3 linked regions of the Schizosaccharomyces pombe genome follow. The protein of the gene in region 2 interacts with the protein of the main gene of each other region in a biochemical or structural test. Each region holds a gene or a part of one and is shown on either strand. Other genes may lie near its edges.

Evidence for each region.
Region 1: the proteins of tea4 (region 2) and for3 form a complex in vitro, tested with the Schizosaccharomyces pombe proteins (one study listed by BioGRID).
Region 3: of the proteins of tea4 (region 2) and kin1, one has a biochemical effect on the other in vitro, tested with the Schizosaccharomyces pombe proteins (one study listed by BioGRID).

Annotation. Positions count from the first base shown.
Region 1 is NC_003421.2:996,674-1,008,146, forward strand, and holds for3 (formin For3), read left to right. Parts: upstream 1-6,076; 5' UTR 6,077-6,456; coding exon 6,457-10,842; downstream 10,843-11,473. Other genes in the region: vcx1 (CaCA proton/calcium exchanger), read left to right, coding at 1-143; mitotic spindle checkpoint protein Mad3, read left to right, coding at 1,015-1,947; SUA5/yciO/yrdC family protein Sua5, read right to left, coding at 2,269-3,495; SNARE protein Ufe1, read right to left, coding at 4,347-4,951, 5,040-5,274, 5,472-5,591. UniProt on the Schizosaccharomyces pombe protein: Involved in controlling polarized cell growth. Required for interphase actin cable formation and microtubule organization.
Region 2 is NC_003423.3:586,834-596,252, reverse strand, and holds tea4 (tip elongation aberrant protein Tea4), read right to left. Parts: upstream 7,895-9,419; 5' UTR 7,525-7,894; coding exon 5,059-7,524; 3' UTR 4,819-5,058; downstream 1-4,818. Other genes in the region: dynamin-like GTPase fzo1, read right to left, coding at 1-1,781; fap1 (L-pipecolate oxidase), read right to left, coding at 8,472-9,419. UniProt on the Schizosaccharomyces pombe protein: Cell polarity factor essential for the bipolar localization and function of structures containing the cell-end marker tea1 during the normal cell cycle.
Region 3 is NC_003423.3:2,689,726-2,700,242, forward strand, and holds kin1 (MARK/PAR-1 kinase Kin1), read left to right. Parts: upstream 1-4,606; 5' UTR 4,607-5,442; coding exon 5,443-8,118; 3' UTR 8,119-8,403; downstream 8,404-10,517. Other genes in the region: 2-isopropylmalate synthase Leu3, read right to left, coding at 1-621; rpl2502 (60S ribosomal protein uL23), read left to right, coding at 1,106-1,203, 1,472-1,799; emp46 (lectin family glycoprotein receptor), read right to left, coding at 2,293-3,447; ATP-dependent RNA helicase Mak5, read right to left, coding at 8,564-9,209, 9,247-9,535, 9,587-10,442, 10,479-10,517. UniProt on the Schizosaccharomyces pombe protein: Has a role in establishing the characteristic rod cell shape. Important for cell polarity and is involved in directing growth to the cell ends.

The sequences.
Region 1 (11,473 bases), on a different chromosome or scaffold from region 2:
CATTGGAAACAGTTATTCTATTTGTGTCTGTTTTCTTGGTTAATTACTTGATACAAGATGGTGCTACTCATTGGCTTGAAGGTGTTCAATTACTTGCTTTGTATGCGATTGTTGTTCTCGCCTTTTTCTACTACCCTCAATAAATTTTGTCGTTCCCTCGCTAGTTCCTTATTATGTCTACTCTTATGTGCTTGATATACTCTCTTGATTTCTTTGTGTTTTACTTTACGAAACTATCATACCGAACTTATTGATTTCTTATTTTTTTATACTAGATTTTTTTTTTTTTTGGTTTCTGTTACAAGGATATTTTGCAGACTTATTTTTTAGTATGCAAGTGTTAAATTATGCAGAAATCTCCCATTTTCGCAATGACTACACAACTCTAAATTTCTATTGCAGGTCAAGCCAATATCTGCTTGTTTACAGTAGCTTTTTAAGTCGCTCATTCTTCAGTCTCAGTTTCATGTGTCTTACCAGCTATGAAAATAGAAAATTAATTTTTGAATAAACTCTTGTAAATCGTTGTTTATAAATCTTCATTTTGTTTATTTTTATTAGTTGTTTTGTAGGTTGTGTTTTACATGATTTAATAATACAAGCCATTAGTATGTGAAGTGGTTAATTTTAATTCTTCTTCTGTTTCTGTATATTCGAAGAAACAGAAAAAACTTCTTATCTCTTTCATTGGACTCTTCCAGGCGTAAGTATGATACCCTCCCCCAGCGTCAAGTTGGCACTTACCTTCTAATTTACGCACAATCTTTCATACATTCCTACTCTTGCTCTTTGAGTGTTGACACTTTTAATTTTATACAAAAGCTTTCAGTACACCTTCTATTAAACTATATACTGGCTATTTTCGTTCTTTCAATAGAATTGTACTTGTCTAAATAAACTTTCCAATACTACTACACTCACATCTCCTTCTTTGTTTTATTTATTTTCATTTAGTGGAAGGTATAGGGTTCTCTAGAAAAGGTTTACTAATTTTTTGGAAGACATTGACTACAAATGGAACCATTAGATGCTGGCAAGAACTGGGTGCATATGGATGTCATTGAGCAGTCCAAGGAAAACATAGAGCCTAGAAAAGCTGGTCATTCAGCTTCTGCACTTGCAAAATCTTCGTCGCGAAACCACACCGAAAAAGAAGTTGCTGGTCTGCAAAAAGAAAGGATGGGCCATGAACGAAAAATAGAGACGAGCGAGTCTCTTGATGATCCACTACAAGTTTGGATCGATTATATTAAATGGACCTTGGATAATTTCCCTCAAGGTGAAACAAAAACTAGTGGACTGGTAACATTGTTAGAAAGGTGTACTCGAGAATTCGTACGAAATCCGCTTTATAAAGATGATGTTCGGTATTTACGAATATGGATGCAATATGTAAACTATATAGACGAACCGGTTGAATTATTTTCTTTCTTGGCACATCATCATATTGGACAGGAGTCCTCGATTTTTTATGAGGAATACGCAAATTATTTCGAGTCTAGGGGATTGTTTCAAAAAGCTGACGAAGTTTATCAGAAAGGAAAAAGAATGAAGGCTAAGCCATTTTTGAGATTTCAGCAAAAGTATCAGCAATTTACTCACCGTTGGTTGGAATTTGCCCCACAATCATTCTCTTCAAATACAAATTCGGTTAATCCTTTACAAACGACATTTGAGTCAACAAATATCCAGGAAATATCCCAGTCTAGGACTAAAATTTCTAAACCTAAATTTAAATTTTCTGTTTATTCAGATGCGGATGGTTCTGGAAAGGATGGCCAACCTGGGACCTGGCAAACTCTTGGTACAGTTGATCAAAGGCGTAAAGAAAACAACATATCGGCTACTTCTTGGGTAGGCGAAAAGTTGCCTTTGAAATCTCCAAGAAAATTGGACCCTCTTGGGAAATTTCAAGTTCATTGTGATGAGGAAGTATCGAAAGAATAACCGATAAAGAAAAGATTTAAAGTATTGGCGTTATTAGATTAACAACTATTGTACATCATGACTCCCGGAATAAGAAATAGGTTGAAACATGCGAATTTTAAGGGTTATACGAACTTAACATAAAGCATCTTATTTATACTACGATTTGCAGCTTTTTTTTATATTTTACTCTCAAATTAATTATAGTCAGCCATAAGTTAATGAATATGATATAAATAATTCTTTTATAGACAATTTATCAAAATAATAAACAGATAGCTCGATAAGTAATTACACCTCTATACAAGTAAAGCTAAGACCCCTTAGCTATAAATATTTTAACTAATGAGAAGGCCCCTCAAAAACCACAGAAGCAGCTTTGCCCAAACGATTCATGATAGCTAGCCCTTCATTTTCCTCGGAGACACCTTCAACCAAAACAAAATCAACTCCCTGCAGATCCAAATCTCGCAATTGAGCGAATAAATTCTTTGTAATTTCATGTCCATCCCTTCCCATATGCAAAAATACAAACGGACAGTGAGAAGGGAATGACTCTTCGTTCCAACGTTTACTACATAAAACACCAATCTTCTGCTTTTCCTTAGTGATTCCCTGCTCAGATAAATACTTTTCAAAAACACCGTATGCATCAGATTCTGTGTAATTGACAAAAAGTAGCACTTTGGCAGTTGGAGAGTAGTGTCTGTATTTCATACCAGGAGTTTGAGGGATGAAATCTGTTTCCATATCACTTTTTTTAGCTACGAATACTTTTGTTCGCTCCCAGGCCCCTCCAGAGCTTTGAATTTCTTCTAAACTTATGCCTCCTGGCCGTAAAATTACGGGAGGATCACAAAGTCCATTTACAACTGTACTCTCCACACCAACACCGCATGCTCCCCCATCTAAAATTAAAGGAATTTTACCTTGTAAATCATTGTAAACGTGCTTAGCTAACGTAGGAGATGGCCTTGTTGAAGCATTAGCCGATGGTGCAGCTAACGGCGAATCTGAAATAGAAATAAGGGCAAGCGCAACAGGATGTTGAGGCATGCGAACAGCAAACGTTTTTTGTCCTGCTGTCACAATTGGTGAGACCGGGGGATTAGCCTCGTCAACAACTGGCAGCAAAATTGAGAGTGGACCAGGCCAAAACTTTTTAATCAACGGTAAATAAACTTTTGGAATAATCTCCTCTGAGTCATGTGCTTGATTTTTTACTTCTGACTTTGCTTTAGGATATGCACTCAACAGCAATCTACGTAGCTGATCCAGAGAAGCAACATGTACAATCAAAGGGTTATCAGCAGGGCGGTTCTTTGCTTTGTATATTGACAAGACTGCTTCAGTCCTTCGGGCATCAGCACCGAGACCGTAAACTGTTTCGGTAGGAAAAGCAACTGGATAATCGGTGTTTCTCAATATATTCGCGGCGTTCTCTAATGCAGAACGAGTTTCTGAGGGAGGTATGGACACCCTTGTGTGTTCAAAAGGATGTTCCGAATCATTACTAGGCTTTTCAAAAGAGATAAGGCGAGTATCAACTGTTTGAATTTTTGTTTCCATTGTCAAGGAAGAAAACCTAAGTTTCTGGCTTACTGAGGCCAATTTTGCTATAAAATTGTAATACTTCAGCTTGTTTTATGTTAATTGATTTAGAAAGAAGAAGCTAAATGCTGATAGAGAGAAGGGTGAAGTTGATTGCTATTATTAAGTTGAAGCGCATCATTGCTGGTTGTCGACTCTTGCAAAGTAAGAGAAATAATTGTTGAAGATATATTTAAAAACTCAAGATTATTTTACTCTAAATACGAAAATAAAATCTCGTTTGAGAAATTTTACTAGAGTAGTGATTGACGACGATCTTTACTTAAAATTTGAATTTAGCTACAGAGGTTGTAAAAAAGAAATGTAAGCGCGACAATGATTTCACGAATGAAAAGAACCCACTTACTGTTTTTATTTGTGGGTTTTTTTTTATCGTTTCTGTTATTTGGCAGGGTAAGAATATATTCTTCCAATACATCCCTTTTGACTAAGCATTTAGTTAATTTGCTAATGTCCAATGCATCAATCTAAATTATATAGCTGAATGTTTAACAAACAAATTTGACTTTGAATTAATCGAGACTGATTGTGAACTTCTATAAACATTCGATCATACTAGATTTTTCAAGCTACAATTTTACCATAATCTATTTCATAGTAAATGGCCAGAAAATTTTTGGAAAACTAACGTACCCAAGATGAATTATAAGGAATTTTTATTTGGGCGTGCAAGGAATGGTCGAAAGAATAAGCATAAACATTATATTTACATGAGATTATAGACATGAACTTCACATGATCAAAGAAGAACGAGTTTCATTCCTTTGTCATTATTGTTACAATATAAAGTTTCAGAAGAATGAAGAGAATTAAACAATACGATCCAAGGATAGCAATAAAAGTCCCATAACGGTAAAGATGCAAAAAAGCAGACGAGCGGTCCGACTACTTCTAGATTTGGCCTTGATTAGTTGTTGATTACCCCCAGACAGCGAATCCATGACATTAAGGGCATCATCATAAAGTTTTTCAGCCGCACTTGATTGAATAGATAGTTGAGCGGATATTTCCGACTGAAGTCTAGTAATATCAGCCAAAGATTTCCCTGTATCACGTAAACGTTCCATAGTATGTTCAAATTCTTGGAGTAAAACATCGTTCTCTTGCTCAAGTTCTTGAAGTTGCTGTTGAGTAAAAAATGTTTGTAATTCAGATTCAGGGATCTCAACAGCTGAATTTTCATCAGTAGGATTTTTTGTTAAAAAGTCTGAAGCAATGTTTCGCTTTTCCTGACCTCGTTTTAATCTCAGATCTTGTAAATGATATAGAACAGAAGAAACATCGGAAAGTTCAGACTGCAGATACCACAGAACAGATGAATGGTGGGCGACTAAAGTTTCCTTTTTCGATAATTTACTAGGGTCTCTTAAACCTTGCAGCCAACCACTTTTTTTAGGGATTTGACTTTGTTGTTCTACTCATGCAATTAGCAAGCATGTCCCTGTGTTTTGTTTATAATTTAAGTAAACATAATTTTACCAGTATTAAAATTTTAAGCTTACCTTTCACAATCTCCTGCAACTTAGCTATTTGATGAATACAGCTACTGATTGCCGAAGAGACTTCATGTTCTATTTCATCCCTTTGAACCTCATCTAGCTCAAGCTTTGAAAGCTCCTCAAGTGAACACTCCATTAAAGGTTTTGAGAGTCTTTGGACATTTGAAAATGTTCTGTCCTTTAAATAAGCTCCACGAATCTTTTTCAAAAATACTAGAAGATTAACAATCGTTTCATGCTGCTAACGTTAGCAATTTGAACTCTCTGATTAGATATAGAAAGCAATAACAAAAGTTAATACTGTCAAAAATTTAAACCAATCCCACTCAATAATTAATCGTATATTATGGTAGCGCATCTCCACAGTGATCAATTGAGTTGAGGTTAAATTTCCGATTGGTTCAATAATTACAGAAAACTCGTCCTCAAACTTACAATTCTATATCCTTCAGCCAAAAAAGGATCCGTATAACTTATTCTTTTCAAAGGAATGTTTGCTGCATCAATGTCGCCATTTTTTGTTAATCCAAAAAACTCATTCGTACGACTCGTCATTCAGAATTTGAGATGCTAAGAAAGGAGAAATATAAATCCCGGGTTAAATGAATTTCAAATTAACAGAACAGATGTTTAGAAAATGGTAGCATTCCATATCCCCTTATGAATAGTGACACGGTAAACGGAATTGAGAGACTTAAAGGTGCTCGTAACAAATGTTCAAAAAAGCAAAAAAAAATACTCCATTGTACGAGTTTTGTTTATTTACTTCAAGTCGATGTCTACAATAAATGAAATTAAGCTAAAGTTTCGCAATTTTTGAAGTATTTAGAAATGAGCTATTTTCAAGTAAACAAACAAACGTAACCAGTTATACACCTCACAAGAATGGAGCGCAGTCAAATTGTTTACAATTTTTGAGTTATTTTTAAAAATTTAGCTTGAAAAAAGTTGTTTGTGTCCTTTATCTCGAAGAAATAAGGTTTTTGTTTTGCTGGTGTTGAGGTTGCTATATAATAACATGGTTTGGGCGACATAAATTCATCCTTTACCAACGCTCTTCGAAACGTTAAATTTGCATATTTATCAAGCATTTTATTGCAATAAGGCTAATATTATTAACTTTAATTGATTTTAACCTTCAGTATTTGCTTATTGTTATACAATATACAGTGATTACCCCTTTTTCTAAAAAGCTGTACTTTCGCATCACATCTGATACCTGCGTTCCTTTCAACTTTTTAATATAATCATCCAAACGATTTTAAAATCTGGTTGACATTACCGCGGAGCTTTAAGCTCTGCATTACGATATATTTTCTCTTTCACCAAAGATTGCTTTCTTCCTTACCATTTATTCCTTAATCAGCTTCGTTAGTATCTTTTTTACAACCAAATTACCAGTTTGGTATGTTAATTCATAATGGCATCTAAAATGCCTGAAGGGTCTCCCCCTACTAGTCGTTCTATTCAATCTCGAAATTCCAGTTACTCTACCTCTTCCAACGAACGTATTGGAACACCCTCTACGATTTCCCTATCTGAAAATTCAGATCTTTCTAAATTACAAAGTACTAATGATTTTGAGTCGCGAGAAGATCTCTCTCTTACTTCCGATGACAATAATGACCCCGAATATGTTATGTGCTACAACACTGTTTATCACCAAAAGACAAAAATAAATGATAAACTTTTATCCGAAACTGAGCAGTTACGTAAAATTTATCCTTTAGAATCCCGTGTATTTCCAAAACCTACCATTGTTAAAGAGATTACCAACGAGCGAACCAAGCGCTACACTTTTTATGACGATGATGCTCCTCTTACTAACCAACATACTGTTTTAGATGAAGCAACTTATAATCGAATTTTAAAAAGGATAGACTTTTTCATTGAAAAAGTCGTTGAAGTCCCACCTACTTACCATTTTTTATCGCTATTAAACGTTCAATTACGTATTCAACCAATTTGGTGGATGGATGAATTTGCTGAAAGAAATGGTATTGAAAGTTTACTGTCTGCTTTAAGAAACCTGGGTCACTATCCTGAACGTGCATCTAAAACACCTCTTGAATCCCAAATAATACAGTCATTATTTCACTGTTTGAACAGCGAAAACTGCCGTCGTCGTTATCAGTCTTCAGCTAAATGCTCTGTTCCAGGATTTAATGCTCTAGGTACTATTGCTGAGACTGTGCTTTCAAAAAGTTTAAATTCAGCTCGCATGGCTACTTTTCTCCTTAAATTCCTTTGTAATAAAAAGGGGTTGAGTTACTTCAAAGCTGTAATCAGGGCTTTCGAATGGCTCGTCGAGCAAAAGTTATCAAAAACTCGGTTTAGCGCATGGATGCATTCCTTTAATGATGTGATTACTGGTGTCCGAGTTTGTGCTGATTCATCTCCTCAAGCGATTGTTCACATGGACGAATTTGAAGATACGGACTGCTTGATTGATTACCTTGTTGCAACTTTAGCTCTCATTCGAGATTTATGTGCTGCTCCACCGGATTTGCAACTTAGGTGTGCTCTAAGGCATGAATTGTTATCTGCTGGTCTTCAAAAGGCCATCGACTCTTTGTTAAAATGGAGAAACAGACACGTCCGTGATGCTCTGCAATTACTAATCAAAGAGCATAATGCAGATGCTCGGCGTTTCCGAAGTGGTAGTGATGTGAATAATGTAGATAGGAAATGCGTAAAGAAACAGATGAACTATAGAGAAGAATCACATACACCTCATGGAAATACTACTCGAAAGACCTCTACTCCTGTATCTAATAATCGACCCACAACTCCGGAACAACAGGCTGTTTGGGATGTTTTTCAAAGAATTTATACTCGCTTTACGGGAAGTGAGGGGTCTAAAGAAAGTTTCATTAAACTACTCGAGTATTTTGTGACTGAACCCGACAACGGAAAAATTCAAAAAAGTATGCAGTTATTGACTCACACGCTTGAGGCACTGGAAGGTTTCAAAACTGCCAAAGCAGATACTAATGTCGGTCTAACGATCCTATCTCAAAGACTTTTAGACAAACTTGGTACCGCAGAGGAGATTGCAGAGTACAAGACAAAGTATAATGGAGCCATGCTTGAAAACAAGCATCTGAAAGAACAAGTTGAATCTATGCTTTCCCAATTGAACGTTGGGCCCCGCGACCCTATGCAGTTTCTGAAGAAACAATTGGATGAATTGAAAGCTGAATTAAATCTTAGAGACAATCTCCTCGCATCCATGCAGCGCGAATTTGAAACGCGTTATAGAGCTCAAATTCAAGCATACAATAAGTTGCAATCCCAAATGGAACACGTGCAGAATTCAAATGAGCAGCACTTACAACCGGGCTTACTTAATAAGGTTTCAAAAAGTTTTGACAGTGTTCATAGAAGAAACCTTTCTCAAGATTCTCTAGATGCGATGACCGAACAGTTTTCTTATCATGTTGAGCCAAATATTTTAAGTGGAAGTGGAATTCCTGTTCGTGTACATACACCATCCAAAACTGAAGATTTGGACGAATCTTTCTCCGGAAGTGAAATATCTTCCTCGCCTTCGCCATTGCTACCAGATGTTTCCGACACCGTAGAAGAGCAGCAAAAGTTATTACTTAAATCTCCTCCCCCACCACCTCCTGCTGTAATAGTTCCAACACCAGCTCCAGCTCCTATTCCAGTTCCTCCTCCAGCTCCTATTATGGGTGGACCTCCACCACCTCCTCCTCCACCTGGTGTAGCAGGAGCCGGACCTCCACCTCCACCACCTCCACCCCCTGCTGTTTCTGCTGGTGGAAGCCGATATTATGCTCCAGCACCGCAGGCGGAGCCAGAGCCTAAGATTGACGAAACCAGCTTAACAGAAGAACAAAAGATTCAACTTGAAGAGGCCAGAAAACAGCGTAAAGCTGCTGATGATGCAGCGAGAGCAGCCATAGAAAAGTATACAAGTATCCCTAGTCTTCGTGATCTTCACAAGCCAACTCGTCCTTTGAAGCGCGTCCATTGGCAACGGGTTGATCCACTGCCTGGACCAAATGTTTTCACAAAGTTCTGCTTAAATTTTGACATTACCGCTAAAGTTTTTATAGATAATGGGCTTCTCGATTTTTTGGATGAGAAATTTGATAACACTCCTAGGGAAGATTTTGTTGCAGTGGAAATTTCTGACCAACGATCTTCTCTTTTACCTGATACAGTTGAACAAAATATGGCTATTATTTTGCGGTCTGTATCTAATATGCCAGTGGAGGACTTAGTTCAAAAGTTTTTAGTCGAACCCGACTTTTTACCGGCCTCAATTTTATACTTTGACCGCGCTAGCCTTGCATCTACCAATGCCTATACCGATCCATTCATTCCTTATAGTACGGATTACACAAAGAAAAATCCAAAAGAACCAACGGCGGATGTGAACAGTTTATCTTATTTTGAGAAATTTTTTGTATTGTTCGTCGTTAACCTTCGGCACTATTTCCAAGAAAGGATGAAAGCTCTAAAATTTCGCTCGACGTTGTTTGGTGATTTGGAAATACTTGAAGTTCGTATGAAAGAAGTCATTGACACTTCGGACAGTATTATGGAGGATAAAAATTTTGCTGAATTCTTTCAAGTCTTACTGATTATTGGCAACTATTTTAATGAACCTTATGATCGAGCATCTGCATTTTCCTTGTATATGATATATCGCCTTGAAACTTTACGAGATAGTTCCTCAGCTCTAACTTTGATGCACTACTTTGATGAGATTATACGAACTCGTTTCCCTGAATTATTGCAGGCGGAATCCACGTTTAAAAAAATTCAGAGTGTTTCCGGATACAATATAGATGCTATGGTTGCGGGTGTAGATGGTGCTTATGATGAATTCTGCGACTTTCAAACGTCTCTCAAAGACGGTGCTCTATCGAAATGCGACCAGCATCATCCAGATGATAAGGCGTACGATATTCTTTCCGAATGGTTGCCTGAGGCTAAAGAAAGGATTAGGAATATTAAAAAGCTTAAAACTGATATGCTCACTAAACTTGAAAACACTGTGAAGTATCTTTGTGAATATGACTCCATTGATAAGGTTAGAAACTCTTTCTTCAAAAACCTGAATTCTTTTTATGAAATGTATTCCATCGCCAAAGCAGAGAATGAGGAACGTTTTGAGAAGGAGAAAAGACGAATCATGTCGGAGGATCGTGACAAACTGATTCGTGGTCGCCAAAAGACATCCATTGTAGCAAAATACAGAAATAAAAGAGAGTTACCAGAAGACTCTGATGATAAACAAGATACGGCCTCCAAGGATAAAAATTCCTTAGAAACAATTGATGAAAAAATGGAAGATGCCAGTAAAATAGAAGGTGATGCTAAGACCGGAGATGATAACGAAATGGAAGATCTTGATAAAATGGAAGACCTTGAAAAACCAGATTATGCTGAAGAAAAAGATCCATATATAACTGTAATGTCAGAATTACGATCTCGTATACAAAATGTCCCTAAAAGGACTGTTACTGTTTATTCCGATGAAGGCGTTGCTACACTTGAGCCCGGAGCTCAAGGGGATGATGTTGTAGATAAGGCCAAAATGATTCTTGAAAAAATGGAAGGACATTCCCAACTATTAACTTCTTCGGCAAATCCTGATGAGGAGGTTTTACGTGCCAAACTGAAAGCTGCTGAGCGTTTGCAAAAACCTGCAATTCCTAGAACACGCCGTAAAGGCCACACTGAACCAAAGAGTGCTAAGTCACTACTTGCAGAACTAACTAACGGGTCTAATGCTTCAAATCTAGTTGAAAATGACCGCCAAAAACAATAGTTGCTCCATTGTTCTTTCTAGGATGGATTTTTAGAACAGTATATCTGTACATTACATACATTGACGATTTGTCTGAAAGAAGTTAAAAATTTGTGTGCCTGTATTTTTTGAAGCTGCTTCAAAATATATTGGTGACACAGTTATCTGTATTATTACGCATACCGCTTGTCGTTAAAAAGGCTAAATTTCCAAAAAACTGACAGCAAATACAATCACTTGTTTTTCCAAGTGCTTAGAAGTACTGAACTTACGTTGCAAAACGTTGTTCATTTTTGACTATCCTTTTTTGCTAAATGTCAGCATTTTTATTTGAAAAGAGACATGTTGGGATAACGATTCATTAAGGGGAGCTTTTTATTACTTAACTTCATTTTTATGAAGCTAACAGAGAACAAATTTGGATAAGCGTCGCACCAATTGTAAAAGGAATGCCCAATCGCTTTATTTAGATCGACTAAAATGTTGATGTTTGTTTGAAATCTCCACCAAAAATTTTATTCTATTGTCATCTTTATTTATTAATCTTTTTTAATCATTCGTTTAAACAGTCCTTGTTGTTTAATTATTTATTGCTCCTATTTTCAACTGTTGACCTAGCTTTTGAAATATAGGATGAAGCGTTAGTTTCCTG
Region 2 (9,419 bases):
GCGCTCCAGGTTCCTAATCTCTCAGTAAGGTCTAGATCTATAAAATCAAGCAAGCCAAGTTCAAATCGAAAATGCTTCTGCAGTTGCAATCTATGTTTCTTAATAAACATTTGGTTGGCATGAAAGACTGGAAGGACGGCGGAGTCAAAATTATCTTTTACATCTTTTTGAATACATAAGACAGCTTCTTCGGTCCTCTTTCGAGCATAATCTTCTGACTCCAACAATTTTTCTTCTAAATATTGTTGCATGGCGTCTCTTACGGATATCGCATACTGGTAGGCAAAGAAAAAACCAGAATACTTGACAGAAGCAAAAGAACCTAATGAGTCAATAGCATCTTCTAATTCGGAATGTGTATGCTGAGAAATAGATTGCACAGTCGCTTCAACTAAAGATTCATTCTTCTGATAGGTAAATTGCTGCTCATGTTTTACCTTACGAAATTTTGGAGAAAGATCCGTCAAACGTTGTTGCAAGTGATTAATATCAAAATCGATAAGTTTTATGTTATATTCGCAGATATTAAGTATATCACCGACTAACCCTGACAAGTATCTACGTACCGGGGCAAGTTTAGATTTTGAGCGATTTTCGAGAATGAAGCTACGGAGAGAGTTTTCCATCTGAAAAAAAGAAGAATATAGAGCATCCTCTCGATTATTTGGATCACGAGCGACACGACAGCTCACAAAATGTACCAAGTCTTTAGCGTCAGCAAAAGTACCAGGAGAAAGGGTATGAATTTGTTCAAGGATCAATCGTTTACATCTCTCTTTATCTCTGATGTTATCAAATTTGTTCACAATAATGAAAATGTGGGATTTCTCAGTGGAGGCGTTTCTTAAGAAATCTGTAGCAGAAAGGGTAAAATGATTTTCAGCGTTTACAACGAAAACGACAACGTCAATTTCCTCTTGGCAAGCAAATACTGAAGTTGTCTTCATGGAATCAGTATTCAAGCCAGGAGCATCAATAAGTGCAATATCTGTAATTCCATTGTGAAGCAAACTCTCATGTGCCGGTCTTCCATCATTGACATATACAATTAGCATGCTCCAATTTTCCGTCTCATAAACAAGGCGTTTCAAATCCTCGATTGGAAAAACTTTATATGTTGAAGAGTCAGTATGACTATACGTGAGTCCATGAGGAATAGCGTGAACACAATCTTTTCCATCATTGAGTTCAGCATCGTGCACTTCACAAAATACCTCAGTACAAGGTTGTTGATCTTCTGGTAGAATGTCTTTGTGTACCAAAGCATTGCAAAGGGTCGATTTACCTGCGTTTAAATCCCCGGTGATAAGGATTTTCGAAGAGGTATCTTCTACTCTAGAAAAAAGTGAAAAGAGATGCTTATTTGCTTTCTCTATGTGTACTTTTAGTAGAGATTCATGAGCTTCCTCGCCCAATTGACTGATTAATTTTTCATCAGCAGTCGACGACGACCGCAGTGATAGATCAATGGTGATCACATTCATTTTGGACGGACTAAATGGATAGTAATTTCCTGAAAATTTAGATTTTTCTTTATCGGTTCTCCAAACACTGTGGAACAAACAGTCAGATCGATCTACATAATTATCCAGTTCATTTAACAGATTTTGAATAATATGGATGGATCTTAACAATTGGTTCCTATTTTGGTTATACTCGAACTGATGACGATTAGTTTCATCTTTATACTGCTGAATATTGTTTGAAGTATATCCATTATTTAATCTTCCCGATTCACCATTCTGTTCGGCTACTGATAATTGCCTTGCACTCTTCTCCATATCATTTAAAGTTGAATTTTGCGTTTATATAATTGAACTTGATCCCTAAAGATTGGAAATTTCATGCAAAGAGCAACTTCCTTAAAAATTAATACATATGCGTTGCAACCATATACTGTTTGCATAACACCTTAGTACGAATAATGAAAAAAAATGGGAGCAACATATTAGTAGATGAATATGAGAAAATAAAGACATCATCTTTCTACATATAAAGCTTTAAAAAAGAAATTTCTATTATATCCTTGAGCACAACAATTCAAAAATTTACATTTGTATCATCATAAATAAGACGTAGGAACGAAATTTCAAGTATACCGTATACTGTTGACATCGACGACGTTTGATATCTGTTTTAGCGATACATAAATCATATAGCGTTGTGCGTTATGTTAACTGACAATATTATATTTATTGTTATAAGACGCCTAACAGTATCAGTCACCGATTTAGCTAATAATTGAACTGAGGAATGAGATGCAGCGACTAATTCCATTTATAATCTTCTAAGTCTTTGTTCTTAACTGATGTCTATATTAAAAAACATGATTTTACAAATATGAAATTAGTGACACGCAACGTAGCGAACCAATTTTAACAGTATGCTGTATAAGGAAAACTAAGTTGGGGTGAATAAAAAGGGCAGTGACAAAATAAATGTGTCAGAAGTAATTCACTGCCTCGTTCAGTTTTTTCGTTCTTCTTTTTTTATGCCATTGTTTGAAGGAATTAGTTGGAAATTTGTTTGAACGATTTTATTATTTTGTTAAAAAGTCTTTAAAGCGATTGGAATTGGACTACAAAGTGAATATTCTTGATTTCGCTGTTTGGTTTGTCGCAATCATAGCAATTAATTCGCGCATGTATTTTATTAAATAAAGAATGATTTTATTATTATGAAGAATAATTACACTTCTTTGAAAAGTCCTCTAGATGAAGAAGATGAATTGAAGACAGATCATGAAATCGATTTGGAAAAAGGACCCCTCCCAGAATATGATTCAGAGGAGGAAAGTACATTGCCTCCATATTCAGGTAAGAATTGTAAATAATAAGAAAGGAATTACTCAATTGAAAGTTGAAACTTGCCAGTGCTGTAAAATAACTTGGATGTGATCATTGTTTACAGTTGGCATATCCAACACTTGATCAGAAAGATGGGTAAATTTAATATGATATCTTTTTAATTGTGTATGCTAATTATCATTAGGTTATGAGGCCAAACAGCAAGTGAATGAATACACAGCTGTTCCATTGCGTGAGATGAACCCCGAAAGTGAAGCCTAATTATATTGTTAACTTTACTAATTGTATGATAAAGTCGCTTTTTACACGAGGCTTCTTTTCTTCATAAGAATGTGCAATAAAGAAGCGCCTTTATGATTGTGATTTACTCAAACAAATCATAAATCTGTTTAAAGTATGTCACATGTATTTTTATTGCATATTTCATTTCCTGACGAATTGGATGAGCAAGTGCATTGCTTGAAAGGTTCCGTGAATAACATACACTGGGCATTGAATATTATAATAATGGTTTTATTTATTCGTTTTAAAATAGCAGTTCACTAATTGACTGTTATCATCAACTAATGAAATCGAAAAACTCGTTGTTTCGCCTTGTTAAATTCACAATTTCATTGTCGTTTATTGCATTCATTTCTTCTTCATCTTGATTCTTAATGAATCAAACTTAATTATCATTTTTTTCCTTTGGTTTAGTGGTTTACTTTAATACAAACAAAATTAATGTTTACAAAATAATGAACAGCATAATAAAATATTGTGATTTAGAACGATGATTTGTTATCGTAATAATGTAGTTATTGTCTAATGTGAGAATCCACTGTAACGATTAACAGATTTCCTCTAATTTTTTAAGCTACTTATTACTTTCTGTTGCAAGTAAAAAATCATGAATTTTAAGGCTCAGTGTATAAGGGTTTGCATATAATTCAGTTCTCGTTTTGTGCTGCATATTTAATTTTTTGAGTAGTCAAAAAAATTAGCACAAGTTGTAAACTTCACATTGTCCACTCGTGGTGGCGTGTTAAAAAATTACTTGATGTTTTAAACTAATACTTCTTATTTCGCATTCATAAAAAACAATGTTGAGAATAATCATGTATGGTGGTTGTACAAATGAAAACGGGTCAATTCAAAATGCATTTCATATCCGTCTCATTCTAAATTTTTCGTTATTTAGTCGCTTCGAATTATTGACTTTGTTTACTGTACGAACTGTTTTCTTTATTTAGCGCATATTGAAGATATTTGCATACTTTTTAGGAACTTTGTTTCTTCCTACAAACTCAATTCGTTACAGAAATAACATTGCTTTGTCTTTCCAATTAATAACAAGTCGTAAATTTGTAAAGGAATAAAAATTTTATTGTTCATTCTTACTTTTCCATGTTCCTTTACATATCTTCGTGCAATTACTAAAAGAATATTAAAAGTCAAATTTGAAAATTTCGCCCTTCAATTATGATGATGGTGAGAAATTGGTAGTCAAGATGCTAATTATCATCTAATTTAGCGTGAAAATTACCAGTGAAAAAACATAAATTATTTATTATGAGACAATCAATATGCCTATCGCTTACAAAATATACATTTAAATACACCGTTGGTTTGATGATGAATCCGATACCTTAAAAGTAGAAGCAGATGATATTCTCATATTAATGATTAATGAACATGTTCATCGTTTGTTAATATCTCATTTTTTTCGTTTAAAAGAGAAGAGAAATATTTTTTAATAAGAATCGCTATAAATCGTGCTAATTTTGTTTTTTAATACCCTATTGAATTTGATTCATCATGCCACATAAGTAAAGTACACTGGCTTATTTTTACGGATGCATAAAATCTATCATACCCTCAAAGCCTACTACTATCTGCTTGAGTAGTTTACATTTTCACTGCTCGCATTACTGTACAAAAAATATGATGCAGCGATACTATAATTTGAAATGGCATATAAGATAATTACTAGCTCATTTAATACTTCGGTAGATTTTACTTAAACACATTTATTTTATAGCGCTCAATAATCCGAATCATACCCGCACATTGAATTTTAGACCTTTATACAACTATGGTATGCTGTTAGTTATTAAAAAATATTATTAACAAGAAAAAAAAGTCAAACATAAAGACATTAACAAACAAATTTTTGAAACAGTTTAATCAAACAGAAAACTGATTTATAACGAGTGTAAATAGTTTGATAAAGGGGAAAAACATGGTATAACTTTTAAATTAATCAAAGATTTCAGCGATTCGTATTTAAGAGGGAGGCCATCTCATCTGATAAACCCTTCAATACGTTAGCAAAAATATCATCCAAGTCCGAGGACACCGATTCACCCTCGATATTACGAGAAACTCGGCGGGATGCCCTTACTCCCGCTGATTTTACACTCCAATATAGCCCGCTAAGAGAGTCTGGATCCAATATAAACTCTCTCAACCGACGATTAAATTCTTTGTTTTTAGTACTAACGTGGTCGTTATCGTACGCATGGATATCAGAAGCATGAGCCGAATCAACGAATGGCACCGAAGAGGAGTTATTATTTAATTCCGCAACCACAGATTGCTTGAATGGATTTTCATCATATTGCAAAGAAGCAGGAGAAGTGATAAGAGAGGAAAAGGAACTAGAAGAGGTAGATTCCTCTGTGTTCTTTCTTGGTAGCAAATCCTCATCGTGTGAAATCGAAGAGCTCGGGATTGCACTTGAAGCATCTAACTCAGGTGTAGGTATAACCATTTCCTCATTACACTCCAATGGAGCCGGGGATTCGTGTAGTAGCTCACGCATTTCGCTTAATTCATCTGCTAAACTTGTAAATCCACCCGCAAAACTTCTTCTGTTTATTTCGTTATTTACATGATGGTTACTCAATGTTGATAAATCTATTGAAGATTGAGAAAATGCTTTACGCTCCGCTGTTATGTATACAGAAGACGTTGTGCACTGTGCATCACTTTGCGAGGAAGAATCAACAGGTAAAGACATCTGACGAAGAAGCGAACTTGGTGATAATTCAACCTTATCTGCTTGCTTTCGGTTTTCGCTGTCTTCTTCGTCATCCTTTTGGAATCCTTTTGTTGGAGAGGATGGAGTAGATGAAGAGTATAATCGAGGGGAAAGAAGCTTTTCAGATGGCATTTCAATCGATACCGAATGTCGAATAGGGTACACTTCTAATTGTTTTAAGGATTGAACTGATAAATTATTGGGCATTTGACCAGAAATTGGTTCCTTTTCTACATCGTTTGGGGCATCCTGAGTAACATTAGATGTGTCAAAAGAGTCACTCTGAGAAACTATAATTGATTTTGGTGCATTCAATGAGATTTCCTTGTTATCACGAGATACATCATGAGTAAAGTTAGAGGATTCCGATACGGCGGAATAAGAAGAAGGCCGCAATGATTTATCAGTATTAGATGTAGACGAATAAGAAGAAAATGAAGCATTCGATTGCATTGCGTCAACTGATAGTGATCTTCGCAATGGAGAATCAACGGTTGCAGATGAAGCAGTTTTATGCTTATTTGCTATCCAAGTACTGTAAAGTGAAGGATCAGACTGGGTGGCATTGCCATATAATTCCTTGTTTCCTGCTATTGAGATATTTATTTTACTAATATTCGAATTTTCAGCATCTGGGTAAGCTGATGAGAATTTAGAGTAGGGGGAATGTGAATTTTTCGAATCTGCAGTAGTGGAAGAGCCATTAATTTCTGTTTCAACAATCTCAAGACCAAGGGGGGATGTACTTTGAAAAGAAGTAGAGTTAAACTGGTTAAACCCACCTTCCAGTTCAGTAAGATCCACGTAAGCAGGACTATCAGTTACATGATCCTCGGATTCGGAACGGTACTCAGCAGAGAGAGAAGAATCACTACTGTCCGAAAATTCTATTTCAAGACCATTCTCTGCGACAGTTCGGTTTACCATTGCCTCATAATCATTTTCAGAATCCATTTCATCATCGGAAGAATTAGAAGAACAAGTAAAGGTAACGCGTTTTATACGAAAATTTGGGGATGGAGCCTCCAAGGTTTTTTCCACAATATCTAAAGGCGGGAGAGTCACAGACTGCTGAGAATTGGACGTTTCCGAATTTTTATATTTATTTAATCGAGCCAAACGCTCTGAAGGAGTTTCAATGTATTCAGCAGGTAAATAGCCTATAGCCAAATTTTTGCACATTTTTACAAGCCACCAATAACTATTAGAATCATCTAATAAAATCATCATGTCTCCTTTAGTAGCATCAACTTGTCCTTCAACAGTAGCTTCGAAGCCTCGAATGGCATGAACAAAGTTGCAATCAATAACCTCTTCGTGAATAGATGGGGAAGAACTCAATTCTGCCTCATATAAAGCGTATTCTTCCTCTTCGTCCATAAAATCATCCTCATCTTCAGAGCGAAACTCATCATCTTCCACTACTTCATTATATTCAGTCCCACAATCCTCAAATTGAGACGATGTTAATGTAGTGTCTTCTTCTTGAGAATCGCTAATTTCTTGCGACGCTACAGTTTGGGGTTCACTATTTTCTCCTGATATAATCCTTTGTATCTCGAATGACTGCTCCAGATATTCTTCCGGAGAGTAACGACTTTCTATTATAGTGCTATCATTCTGTTGTGTCGGGTCAAAATGACTTTCCATAATTTCCATGCTGTCAGCACTACTGGCACTATTCATGTGTAACATATTGAAACAATGTAGTTAGCTCTCATGAACTTGAACAAATGTGCAAAAACAGCAAACACACTTTTCAGGTCTCAAAAACCGCTACTCCTAATGATAAAAACAAACACGTTGCAAAGGGATAAGAAACTCTCAACCTCATACAATTTATAACTGGTAAAAATTCAGGATACTGGCTAAAACGCTAGTGAAAACGGAAATACCGATCCTGATGAACATACACTCAAGTTGGGTTGATTAGAACGTCAATCGTAACAACGAATCCAGCAAAATCTTTTTGAAAATAAAACGATCTTGCTCTTCAAAATGTTAACATTCCAATAACTAGTGTAAAAATATAATATATTAACAAACTAAGTCGCCTCTAAATATTGCGGTAAGATATGCGTACTTGATGCTACGTAAATCCGAGATTGGCAGATAACGTAACAGTAAAACGTCGTTTAACCGATACAACGAATAAAAGCGAGTACGGTATTTGCATTTAAACAAAAAGCTTCTTGATCATTTTATTCTATTTTGATTTTTTTTTTTATGTTATTTCTAATTAGATTGTCAAATTTAATTATTTATAAATGTTTGAATTGCATCTAAGTATCAAAAACAACCTCAGTAAGCTGTGACGCTTTAGTTCTCTTAAAGCCAACGAGTTAGCTATATGATGCATATCTAAAATAATTGAAAAAAAGGTTTTACTTAGCATGCTTTGTAATATTAATTCAGGACATAAAGTTCGATGTAAAGGGTATAGAAAATGTCCCTGTTTTTATTCGAAAACAGTAAACCGACATAATCGTCTGGATGTTATAAAGTTGATGTTAATTGTTAATGTGTATACATTCAATGCTCGTAATATTTCGAATGAAGAAGAATCAATTAGTATTCAACACAAAAATAAGGTAGCCTAGAAAGATAGACGCTAGCCTTTCTTTTGTTTAGCATTGCACATCTTAGCTTAGCTCTTGTCGAGAGGGTCCAGCTCGGCTGTGGTCTAAAGCAGCAAACTCCAAATTTTCTTTCTTCCATCTCCACTTCTTCAATAAGGGCTCCTCTAACTCACGAAACATACACCCTATGCTATACTTCCCGAGGATTGGAAAGAATTTGAATCCATGGCCTGAACCACCTGTGCATACAAACAGATTTTCATAATCTGGATGATAATCAAATACAAACTCGGCATCGGCTGTGTCGGTATAATAACAAATACGGGTTTTGTAAAATGGCCTTTGACTAATTTCTTCGCCATAAGTACGTTGAAGGTTTCTGCGTAAATCTAATTCCGCTTCCTTGGGCAGGATAGGAGAAACGAGAGGTTTCTTTGGTGGAACAGATTCGACTTTTCCGGATTTAAGATTTTGCATTCTCGTAAATCCGTATCCATGGCGTGCAAATTTTAGATAACCATCGGGGGTAGGGGGAAAAATATAAAATCCAGTATCAAAATCTAAGTATACAGGATTTGTCAAAAAGCGGATGTACTCCTCAGGAGTCAATTTTATGTATGCGACTGGTTGACCGGTTGCCAAGAATCGTGTGTGGTCATTAGGTAAAAGAGATGCAGTCCATGCACCTGTAGCAAAAATAAGTTTTTCGGCCATGTAAGCTCCAGTAGTAGTCCTCACGCCTTTAACAACGTTTTCTTCTGTTATAAGCTCTTCAACAGTTCCCTCAGGTCCGCTAATGAAAGAAACACCGGCATGTGCTAAGTAATTAACTACGGATTTCACAGACTGCTCAGCGTTGGCCCATCCAGAACTAAAATTGGCATACCCAGCTTCTCCATCATTCAGCTCGCCAATCCATTTTGGAAAAAGTTTCCGCAATTCTTCTGTAGTTTGAAACTTTGCTGCTGACACACCCATTTTTGTCAGGTTTTCCAGACTCATGTCCCGATA
Region 3 (10,517 bases), 2.1 Mb from region 2:
TTCCAAAGCAAAGTCTGGTTCGGTGTCTGAAAAAGTTTCAGGAGAATATTCAAATCCCCAGTTGGTTTCCTTCGATTCAAGAGCATTTTTCGTAGCAGCTGTTACGATTTTTGAGCCTTTGATGGCTAAATCCAATGTTTCTTGCTTACTGTTGCGGAAGACAACTTCACGGAAAAGAGGAGAACAGGCATTATACAAGTGAACAGTGGCATTCTTAGCGCCTCGAAGAGCCTCAATCGTACGTAGGATCAAAGGCTCACGAGAAGGAGTAAGGGCAGAAATAGTAACATCGTCAGGAATCAAACCTGGCGTTTCAATCAGATGACGAACAAATGCAAAATCAGTTTGAGAAGCACTTGGGAAACCAACCTCAATTTCTTTGAAGCCAATACTGCAAAGCAATTTAAAATATCTCAATTTCTCCTGCCCATTCATAGGATCGGGTAAAGCCTGATTACCATCACGCAAGTCCGTAGAAAGCCAGCGTGGAGCTTTCGTCAAAACCTTGTTTGGCCATTGACGGTTGGGTAGTTGAATTCCTTTAAATGGCTTATACTTTTTGGAGGGATCCTTGAGCATCCCTTTGGCAACGCGGCCAGCAGCCTCAAAAGTAGATTTCATGGAGACTGTAGCGATTTTTGGACAAAATGAGACGAACTAACTAATTCGTTTGAGGACTATTCAAAAGTCAAATTGATAAACTTAACGTTTATAGAAAATTTCGTAAGGGAAATAATCAAAACAATCTTAGATCGTCTTTCAAATAGGCCGTTGCAATGATAATAATACCAATTGATGAATCTCACTTAACAAAATACAAAGAAAATTTGATTTCTTTGATCGTTACCCGCCAAAAAGCACGTAAACAGGATGTTGTGGAGAAGGACAAATTACCTGAACACAAAAAACTTCCATATATGCTGTCTCGCTATTCGACATGATGGTGGCGATAACGATAACGATCGGAGATCTGCGTACGAGATCATTAAACCTGCTTCCTTCGGTAAACAGATACCCTTAGGGTAGGTTTAGTGACTGCCTCAAATGTTAGGGAAACTTTGAAGTACTTCAGACACAGCGAAGCCTTTTACACTATAGAGTCAAGATGAGCGTTGGTAAAGCAAAAGGAGCTCAAAAAACTGTTCAAAAGGGGATTCACAATAAGGTTGCTCGTAAGGTTCGTACTTCTACCACCTTCCGTCGGTAAGTTTACTTGTTTGCATCGTTTGCTATGCTTCGCTGTAGCTTTCCAAGAATTGTTAAGAATGGCGTGAAACCAGGCCGAATAGTGACCATTTTAAATGATTAGGGCAAGAGATTCTAAAGATAAAGTGAATAATTAGAACCTATTCCAATTGATTACTTGAAAATTCATTATAGGCTTGCAATTCTTATGCATACCGAAGTTTATAGAATATTAACGTGATTATAAAAAAATAAGTTAAATTTTTTTTCGTACTAATTGTTTTAGCCCCAAAACCCTCGAGCTTGCCCGTAAGCCCAAATATGCTCGTAAGAGTGTTCCCCATGCCTCCCGTCTTGATGAATACAAAATTATTGTCAACCCAATTAACTCGGAATCTGCTATGAAGAAGATTGAGGATGACAATACTCTCGTCTTTCATGTGCATTTGAAGGCTAATAAGTTTACTATTAAAAATGCTGTCAAGAAACTTTACAGTGTTGATGCTGTTAAAATTAACACTTTAATTCGTCCCAATGGTACCAAAAAGGCATTTGTCAAGCTTTCTGCCGATGCCGATGCCCTTGATGTAGCCAACCGCATTGGCTTCCTTTAGCTTAAAAACTAGTTTAATAATTCACTTTTGAGCTCCGAAATTGCATCATGTACTTTCTAGTCTCGGTACAAATATATAATTTTTTTACCCTGCATATTTCTGCTAAGAAGTGTAGTAGGAGGAGATTGAATTGATTCGTGCCTATTGGCATTAGTAAAACATTTAAAAACAGGAAATTTGTAAACAGATATAGTGATGTTAAGTTATGGAACTAGAGGACCCCCATTTTAGGTAAGTGTATATCTTAAGATATGAAAATTATATATTATTTATAAGATGGTTAAGATAATAGCAAGTAATGATTCAAATATGCATTTCGTATGACTAAAAATTTTGATGATGAAAAGACAGGACAACCACGGTCAAAAGAAAGGATAATCGTCAAAACACAAACAGATGAGCAATTCTTTGTATAAAAACACCACTTCATAACTGCGCGTTTTACACGCCTATACCGTTTCTGAAAATTAATGGCAAATCACCCCAATCGAATCTATAAGTATTTATGTCTTCTGCGATCACGACGAACCAACATTATACCATAGGATACAATTGCACCCAATAACAAGAAAACCATAAAGTTTGTCAAGTTATATGGCGAGTAAGCATTTCCCATTGCCTTTTTTATCTCCTTTTCAAATTCTGCTAAATGTTTAGAAGTACCATCTGCAGTGGAAGATTGCGCAGATAGAGAATCATGTAGCAATTTTTCAAGGGCATTAAATCTTTCACTTGGGAACTGTGAAGTAGAAGAAATATCGTTCAAACGCTCCAAAGCATTAGTCAACGCAAAATGCAAAGAGTCCATCTTCTGGCGTTGAGATTCTACTAGATTAAAAAGCTTTGCCAAATCAGCCTTTATTGCGTTCAAACCTTCAGTGTCAATAACTGTTTGAGGACTAGTATTGTCACCGACGCTTTGCTTTGTATTGGAGGTAGGATTCAAATTTTCATTATTAGATGTATCTGGAGGAAGTATATTGAGGTTCGATAAAGCCACCAAGTCTTTTGCAGACGTAGATTGAGAGGAAACTCCAAAATAATACCCCTGAGGCAAAATGACATCTTTTACTTGAAAGCAGGGCTTGTCATTCACAAATAACTCTAATCCAGATTGGTCACCGTATTTGAGAATAATATTGTTCAAAGCCTCAGGAGAGCTCTCAATGGTACATTTAGCAAAGGGCGGAAGATCGGGGTCAGTAAACTGAGCAAGTTCAAAACTTTTATCATTCAAATAGCCACGAACAAAGATTTTACCAGTTTGATCGATTTCCTGGGAAATCAGAAGGCCGTCCCACTTATCGGAGGCGCCAAAAACTGGACCTTCTGAACCGACAGCGCTTGTATACCAAATCGCAAAAAAGGTGTTTTCGTTCTCTGATACATGAGCTACAAATGAAGTCGATAGCTGCCAGCCAACTTGTCGTAAAACGCTAGTTGACCAAAGGGATCCAGAGCGTGCTTCATTACTGTCTTTGCTGGTTAAGTAAACGTAACCTGAATCTTCATCCACACTACCGTACCATTTCCATTCAACGGGAATGGCGTTACTTAGTGAATGAAGTTGCAAAAACTGAGATTTAGGGACGGCGTAAGCCAATGTACAACAAAACGATAATACATGAAACAGGGAGCAAAACTTCATTTTTCTTTACTTCGTTTAAAAATAGATAAATGAATATTGTGAAAGTATGCCAAAAAAAAGAGAGAGAAACAGAAATTGAAAGAAAGGATTATTTGGTTAAGACCAGGGACTTTTTGCTCTATTACTTATAGAAAAAGATTACTCCAGTCCTTAAATCCTTTAGTTACCGGGAACCAAAGTAAATAGATGTATTTTTGGTTTATTAGTTACCGTCAGAAAGTTTATCTACAAAATTCCGTAAATGTGAAATGACAACAACCGCCAACTCAATCGTAGTAAATAAGGATGATATTTCGAAAGTCACCTAACGAGTAATGTTAGACTTCCCTATATTTAAACATGGCAGCTTTCTGAGCAACTATGGATGTTGCAGTAAAATTGTATATGAATTGGTTTAATTGCTCGAAAGCATTGTTTGTGTGCAATGCAACTTTTCAATGCGAAGTGTATTTAATGATTATAACAAGCAATAAATGTAGTAAAAAAGACCATTTCTCTACTCCACATCAGAGACAGAAACCAGTTTTTGTTTTTTTTTAAATTGTGACTAAAAAAACAAAAAAACAATCAATGAATTAAGAGTACCGTCATGGTCGATGACTAATTTTAGTCGTTAAGAAAATTAATTGATTGTTCCATCGAAATAAATTTCATAAGCTTAAGAGACATGAAAAATACTTAAAACAAAACTCTAGAGTAACTTTAATATTTCGTTAATTTAAAAAGTTTTGACTTGGCACGATAATTCAGATGTATGAATAATGTAAAAACACACGCGTATTTGTTCATTTATGAGGAAACTGTGATGGTGATTTATTCATTGTATTTTTGAATACGCATATATTTAAAAGATTTAAGTATACAATTTCAATTGAGTCGTTTGCTGCATACTAAATCCATTTTTAGATACCATGTTTTTCTCATAACCATAAAGGAGCATGCTTGCGCCTCGGTATATAGCAGTCGTGATCTTTTAAAAGGGTGTGTGGGAAAGGAAAATACAAGTCGATAAATACATGAAATAGATTAAAAAAATAAAAGTTTAAGAAAATAGTAACTGGTAGGCTATTTTGAAGTCTTATCTCTATATAAATCGATACTAAACGTAATGAATGCTTTAGCATGGTGCATTCATCCATGACATCTCCACTGCTGCTTTAACCATTCCGTACAACAACAAAGCCAGTGCATTTGGGTTAGGGAATCCTTCCTTTACAGTTTCTGGCTTCATTTCCTTTTTTTGTAATAATTTAATTGAAAGGAAAGAATTGAAGAGATATTGAATGCCTTAGGGGACGTAGCATAGATTTGCAGTGGTTGTTAGACAGGAAACAAATTGCGGGAAAATCTCAAAGTCGTTTGACTTTCTGTTGCTCAATAAAAGAAACAGGAGACCTGTTTATACTAGAATTTCTCAAACAAGAGTTTTTACGACCGAAAATTATCGAAACAACTATATTTTTTGGTCGTTTATCTTGTTCATCGAAAAAGCTAAGCCGGTTTACCTGTTCTTCTTCCATCTTCCTGCTGCTCTAATAATCTCATTTGTTATCTTTTCAAGCTTTGCTTATTTGTTTTGATTGTAGAAACGGCTTTATCGGCTTGTGAGCATCCTTCTTTTCACAAACAATATTGATTGACTACTAATCCGTTTCTAAGCCACGAGCATTCTTGTAACTAGATCGCTTTGCTTATTTGTTTTCATCTCGTACAAGAATTTCTTCGTCCCTTTATTGTTTTCTTTTTAATTTTTCGGATTTCACGCTTTTTCGTAATATTTGTCATCTTAGGTTCGCAAGGAAACTGGTGCCACGATTTACGATAACAAAGTATTTTTTGTCAACCAAGATTTACACGTTTGTATTATTTTCACAAAGTTATTATTTTATTACATTACTCAGTCGGCTTATTTTGAGTTGATTGCTAATTTTTGCCTCTCAAAAGTTCAAGCAGTAATTTTATATCTGCTTTTTTGTCTGTTGATCCCATTTCCTGATGGAGTACCGTACCAATAACGTACCCGTCGGTAATGAGACAAAGTCTGCCGCTTTAAATGCGTTGCCGAAAATTAAAATATCTGACTCGCCCAACCGTCATCACAACCTGGTGGATGCTTTTATGCAATCTCCTTCTTATTCTACACAACCAAAATCCGCTGTAGAGCCTCTGGGTTTATCTTTTTCTCCTGGGTATATTTCTCCTTCTTCTCAGTCTCCACATCATGGCCCCGTAAGGTCTCCATCAAGTCGAAAACCGCTACCAGCATCTCCTTCTCGTACGCGGGATCATAGCCTGCGAGTACCTGTATCTGGGCATTCTTATAGCGCTGACGAGAAGCCTCGTGAAAGAAGAAAAGTCATAGGCAATTATGTACTAGGTAAAACCATTGGGGCTGGTAGCATGGGGAAAGTTAAAGTTGCGCATCATTTAAAAACAGGTGAACAGTTTGCCATTAAAATAGTTACCCGTCTTCATCCAGACATAACGAAGGCAAAAGCTGCTGCTTCTGCTGAGGCTACTAAGGCAGCACAATCAGAAAAAAACAAGGAAATTCGTACTGTTCGCGAAGCTGCCTTATCTACTTTGCTCCGTCATCCGTATATTTGCGAGGCAAGAGATGTTTATATTACTAATAGTCATTATTATATGGTCTTTGAATTTGTCGACGGTGGTCAAATGCTGGATTATATTATTTCACATGGAAAATTAAAAGAAAAGCAAGCTCGAAAATTTGTGCGTCAAATTGGAAGTGCGCTGAGTTATTTGCATCAAAACTCTGTGGTGCACAGAGATCTAAAAATTGAAAATATTTTAATTTCGAAGACCGGTGACATCAAAATTATCGATTTTGGTCTTTCAAATTTGTATCGACGTCAGTCTCGCTTGCGCACGTTTTGTGGTTCATTATATTTTGCTGCTCCAGAACTTTTGAATGCTCAACCGTACATTGGTCCAGAGGTAGACGTTTGGAGTTTTGGAATAGTACTTTACGTTCTTGTTTGCGGAAAAGTGCCATTTGATGATCAAAATATGTCTGCCTTGCATGCGAAAATAAAAAAAGGTACCGTCGAGTATCCAAGTTATTTAAGTAGTGATTGTAAAGGTTTACTATCAAGAATGTTGGTTACTGATCCTCTCAAGCGAGCCACGCTTGAAGAAGTTTTGAACCATCCTTGGATGATTCGCAATTATGAAGGACCTCCAGCTTCGTTTGCTCCGGAAAGATCTCCGATCACTCTTCCATTAGATCCTGAAATTATTAGGGAAATGAACGGTTTTGATTTTGGACCACCAGAAAAAATTGTTCGTGAATTAACTAAGGTAATTAGCAGTGAAGCTTATCAATCTTTAGCTAAAACTGGATTTTATTCCGGGCCTAATTCAGCTGACAAGAAAAAGTCTTTCTTTGAATTCCGGATTAGGCATGCTGCGCATGATATCGAGAATCCAATATTACCATCTCTTTCAATGAACACTGATATTTATGATGCGTTTCATCCTCTCATTTCAATTTATTATTTAGTTTCTGAACGTCGTGTATATGAAAAAGGTGGAAATTGGAATAGGATAGCAAAAACACCAGTTTCTAGCGTTCCTTCTTCGCCAGTTCAGCCAACTAGTTATAATCGTACTTTACCGCCAATGCCGGAAGTTGTTGCCTACAAAGGCGACGAAGAATCACCTCGTGTTTCTCGAAACACATCACTTGCACGCAGAAAGCCTTTGCCTGATACGGAATCTCACTCCCCTTCTCCTTCAGCAACCTCCTCCATCAAAAAGAATCCATCCAGCATTTTTAGAAGGTTTTCATCACGCCGAAAACAAAATAAGTCTTCTACATCTACTCTTCAAATTAGTGCTCCCCTTGAGACCTCACAATCTCCACCAACACCTCGAACCAAGCCGTCTCACAAGCCCCCAGTATCTTACAAGAATAAACTTGTTACCCAATCTGCTATTGGAAGATCAACCTCTGTTCGTGAGGGCCGCTATGCTGGTATCTCCAGTCAGATGGATTCACTAAACATGGATTCAACAGGGCCCTCTGCATCCAATATGGCAAATGCACCTCCGTCGGTTCGTAATAATCGTGTACTTAATCCTCGTGGTGCTTCCTTGGGGCATGGGCGGATGTCAACTTCTACGACCAACCGCCAAAAGCAAATCCTTAATGAAACGATGGGCAATCCGGTGGACAAGAACTCTACTTCCCCATCCAAATCTACGGATAAATTGGATCCTATAAAGCCTGTTTTCCTTAAAGGCTTGTTCAGTGTTTCCACTACATCGACTAAAAGTACTGAGTCAATTCAACGAGATCTTATTCGGGTAATGGGCATGCTTGATATTGAGTATAAAGAGATCAAGGGTGGTTATGCATGTCTATATAAACCTCAGGGTATCCGAACCCCTACAAAATCGACTTCTGTTCATACACGACGTAAGCCTTCTTATGGCTCTAATTCTACCACTGATTCTTATGGATCGGTGCCGGACACAGTCCCATTAGATGACAATGGTGAGTCGCCTGCCTCTAACCTTGCCTTTGAAATATATATTGTGAAAGTCCCTATACTCTCTCTTCGTGGCGTTTCTTTTCATCGAATTAGTGGAAACTCATGGCAATATAAGACATTGGCTAGTCGTATTCTTAACGAATTAAAATTGTGATTGACTATTAAAGCTGCATACTTTTTTGAAATTATTTATTTCACTTCATTTTACGTTATGACCACCTAATTAGTGTTTATGGTTTTTAATACTAAGACCGCTTCAGGTTGAACTATATTAGACGTTGAGCTTTTTTAGAGACGAGAAACTAGACCTCTAATGCTCTTGCCTGTGAAAGCAAACAGATGCCAGAGGCATGTAAAGTCAACGTGTAAATGCACCCTCGTTCGCTTATGTTTAAGCCAGATACATAAGGCTACTATAATTAATGATATATCTTATAGTAATTCGTTCACTTATATAGTCTAATACGACGTTTTTGTTGATACTTATCTAGCAGTAATATTATTATTAACCCATAACTATAAAATACCAAAAAACCATTGTATAAAAACCTAAATGAAAACCCGTGCTATATGAAAAGTAGCTAAGTAAAAACCCTTTTTTACTTCTTCCTTTTTTGCAGAACTTCCAAAGCACTAATTGAGTCCATTCCGATAATATTATCATGAACTTCTTCGTTGGCTAATTTTTCAGCCATATTTACAAGACCGCTCGTCAAGTATCTACCAGAAAATCCTGTTCTTATTTTTTCGTGTAATAAGGGAGCAAGCTCTGAGCGAAGATGCGCTATCTGTTTCTTATTCTTACTAGATTCAGATTTTTTTGGCAAATCCGGATCCTCATCATCAGAACTTTCAACTCCCAATTCCTGAGCCATCGATTTTAACCAAGCTTCCTCACGTCCCACTCTTCCGTCTTTTCTAGTGAGATTTACAATTTTATGTGCTAAGACGACCCTCGTTTTTAAAATGTCCAATATTGACATATCCACAGGAAAATTAATAAAGGTCTCGATTTTCTTTTTCAACCGATAACATAGTCGTTTCAGCTGTGACAGTTCTTTAGGACCACACATTAAAATTGAAACGCCATCTTCGTTAGCGCGAGCGGTACGACCGCTTCTATGAACATACATATCAGCTGTATGAGGAACATGATAATGAATTACGTGCGTAACACTAGGAATATCAATACCACGGGCGGCCACATCAGTGCAAACAAGGACTCCTTTAGGATTATTTTTGAACCTTGTTAGTTAGTAACATATAAATAAAAATAACTTACTTTTCAAGAGATTGAAGTCTTTTTTTCTGATCTAATTGAGCATGTAGAGGATAGGATGGAACTTTTAACTCATTTAGAAAAGGAGTGATTCTCTTAATATCCTCAATACCATTGGCAAAAACCATGGTTTTTCCAGGATAACGCATGATCAAATAATAAAGATACAAGTCTTTTTCAGCTGGAGCACACTCTATGAGCCCTTCTAATACGCGGCTTGCCACTGCACTTTGAGGATTGGCATCCAAAAATTTGGGTTTGCCAAAGAAACGAACCTCCTTCAACATATTTTCTATGCAGTCGTTAGTAAGTGAGAAAGTAAAATATTTCTAATTGAACATACCCATCGGGCTGTTGTATTTCTCAGTTATATTGCCTTTCATATTCTTTTTAAGGCGTTGCTGTAAACCCTCATCGAAAGTTGCAGAAAAGATAAAAGTCTGACGCTGAGTATGCATGGGATTTCCTAAAATTTCAAGTAGTTTGCTCAATTCTTCAAAATGACTTTTTTGCAGTAAACGATCTGCTTCATCTAATACCAAACACTTGATTTTCTTAAAGTTTCCTGTAAGGTTGTTCTCGTTGATGACAGACCACAAGCGACCCGGAGTTGCAACCACAACGTGAGGGTGCTTGTTAAGAAGCCTCTGCTGCTTCTGTACTGCTAATCCACCGGTTATAGACATAACACGAATGTTAGGACTTGGCTTGATAAGTTCAAAGTGTTGGCAAATTTGATGAGCAAGTTCTCTGGTAGGAGCAACAACTAGAGCCTGTACGTATTTTGCATCTACATTGCGAAGACAATGCTCTAAAATGGGAATGCCAAAAGCTAAAGTTTTTCCTGAACCGGTATCTGCCTTTCCAATGATATCAAATCCAATAGAAGCTTCAGGAATTACCAATGATTGAATTGGCATCGGTTTTGAAAAGCCAGCTTTAGATAACGAGCCAAGCATTTCCGGTGAAAGTGAAAAGTGTGCCCAAGCAGAGACGTCCACACCATGAGAATTGTGTTCATCCTCTTCTTCTAATGTAGAGAATTCATTATAGTTTTTAGAAGTCACCTTTGATCCTAGTGAAGTCATTTCAATAGTAGGGGAAGTACGTTTTCCCTTTTTCTTTTTTTCACTAGCTTCTTTTTGATCTTTTTTTCGCTTTTCCGGCTTTTTATCTTTTTTTTCATGAACTTCTGGTAACTGTTTGTTAATAAATTAGATAATAAACAATTATACCTCATAAATTACTTCTTTCATAGCACCTTTTGGCTGATA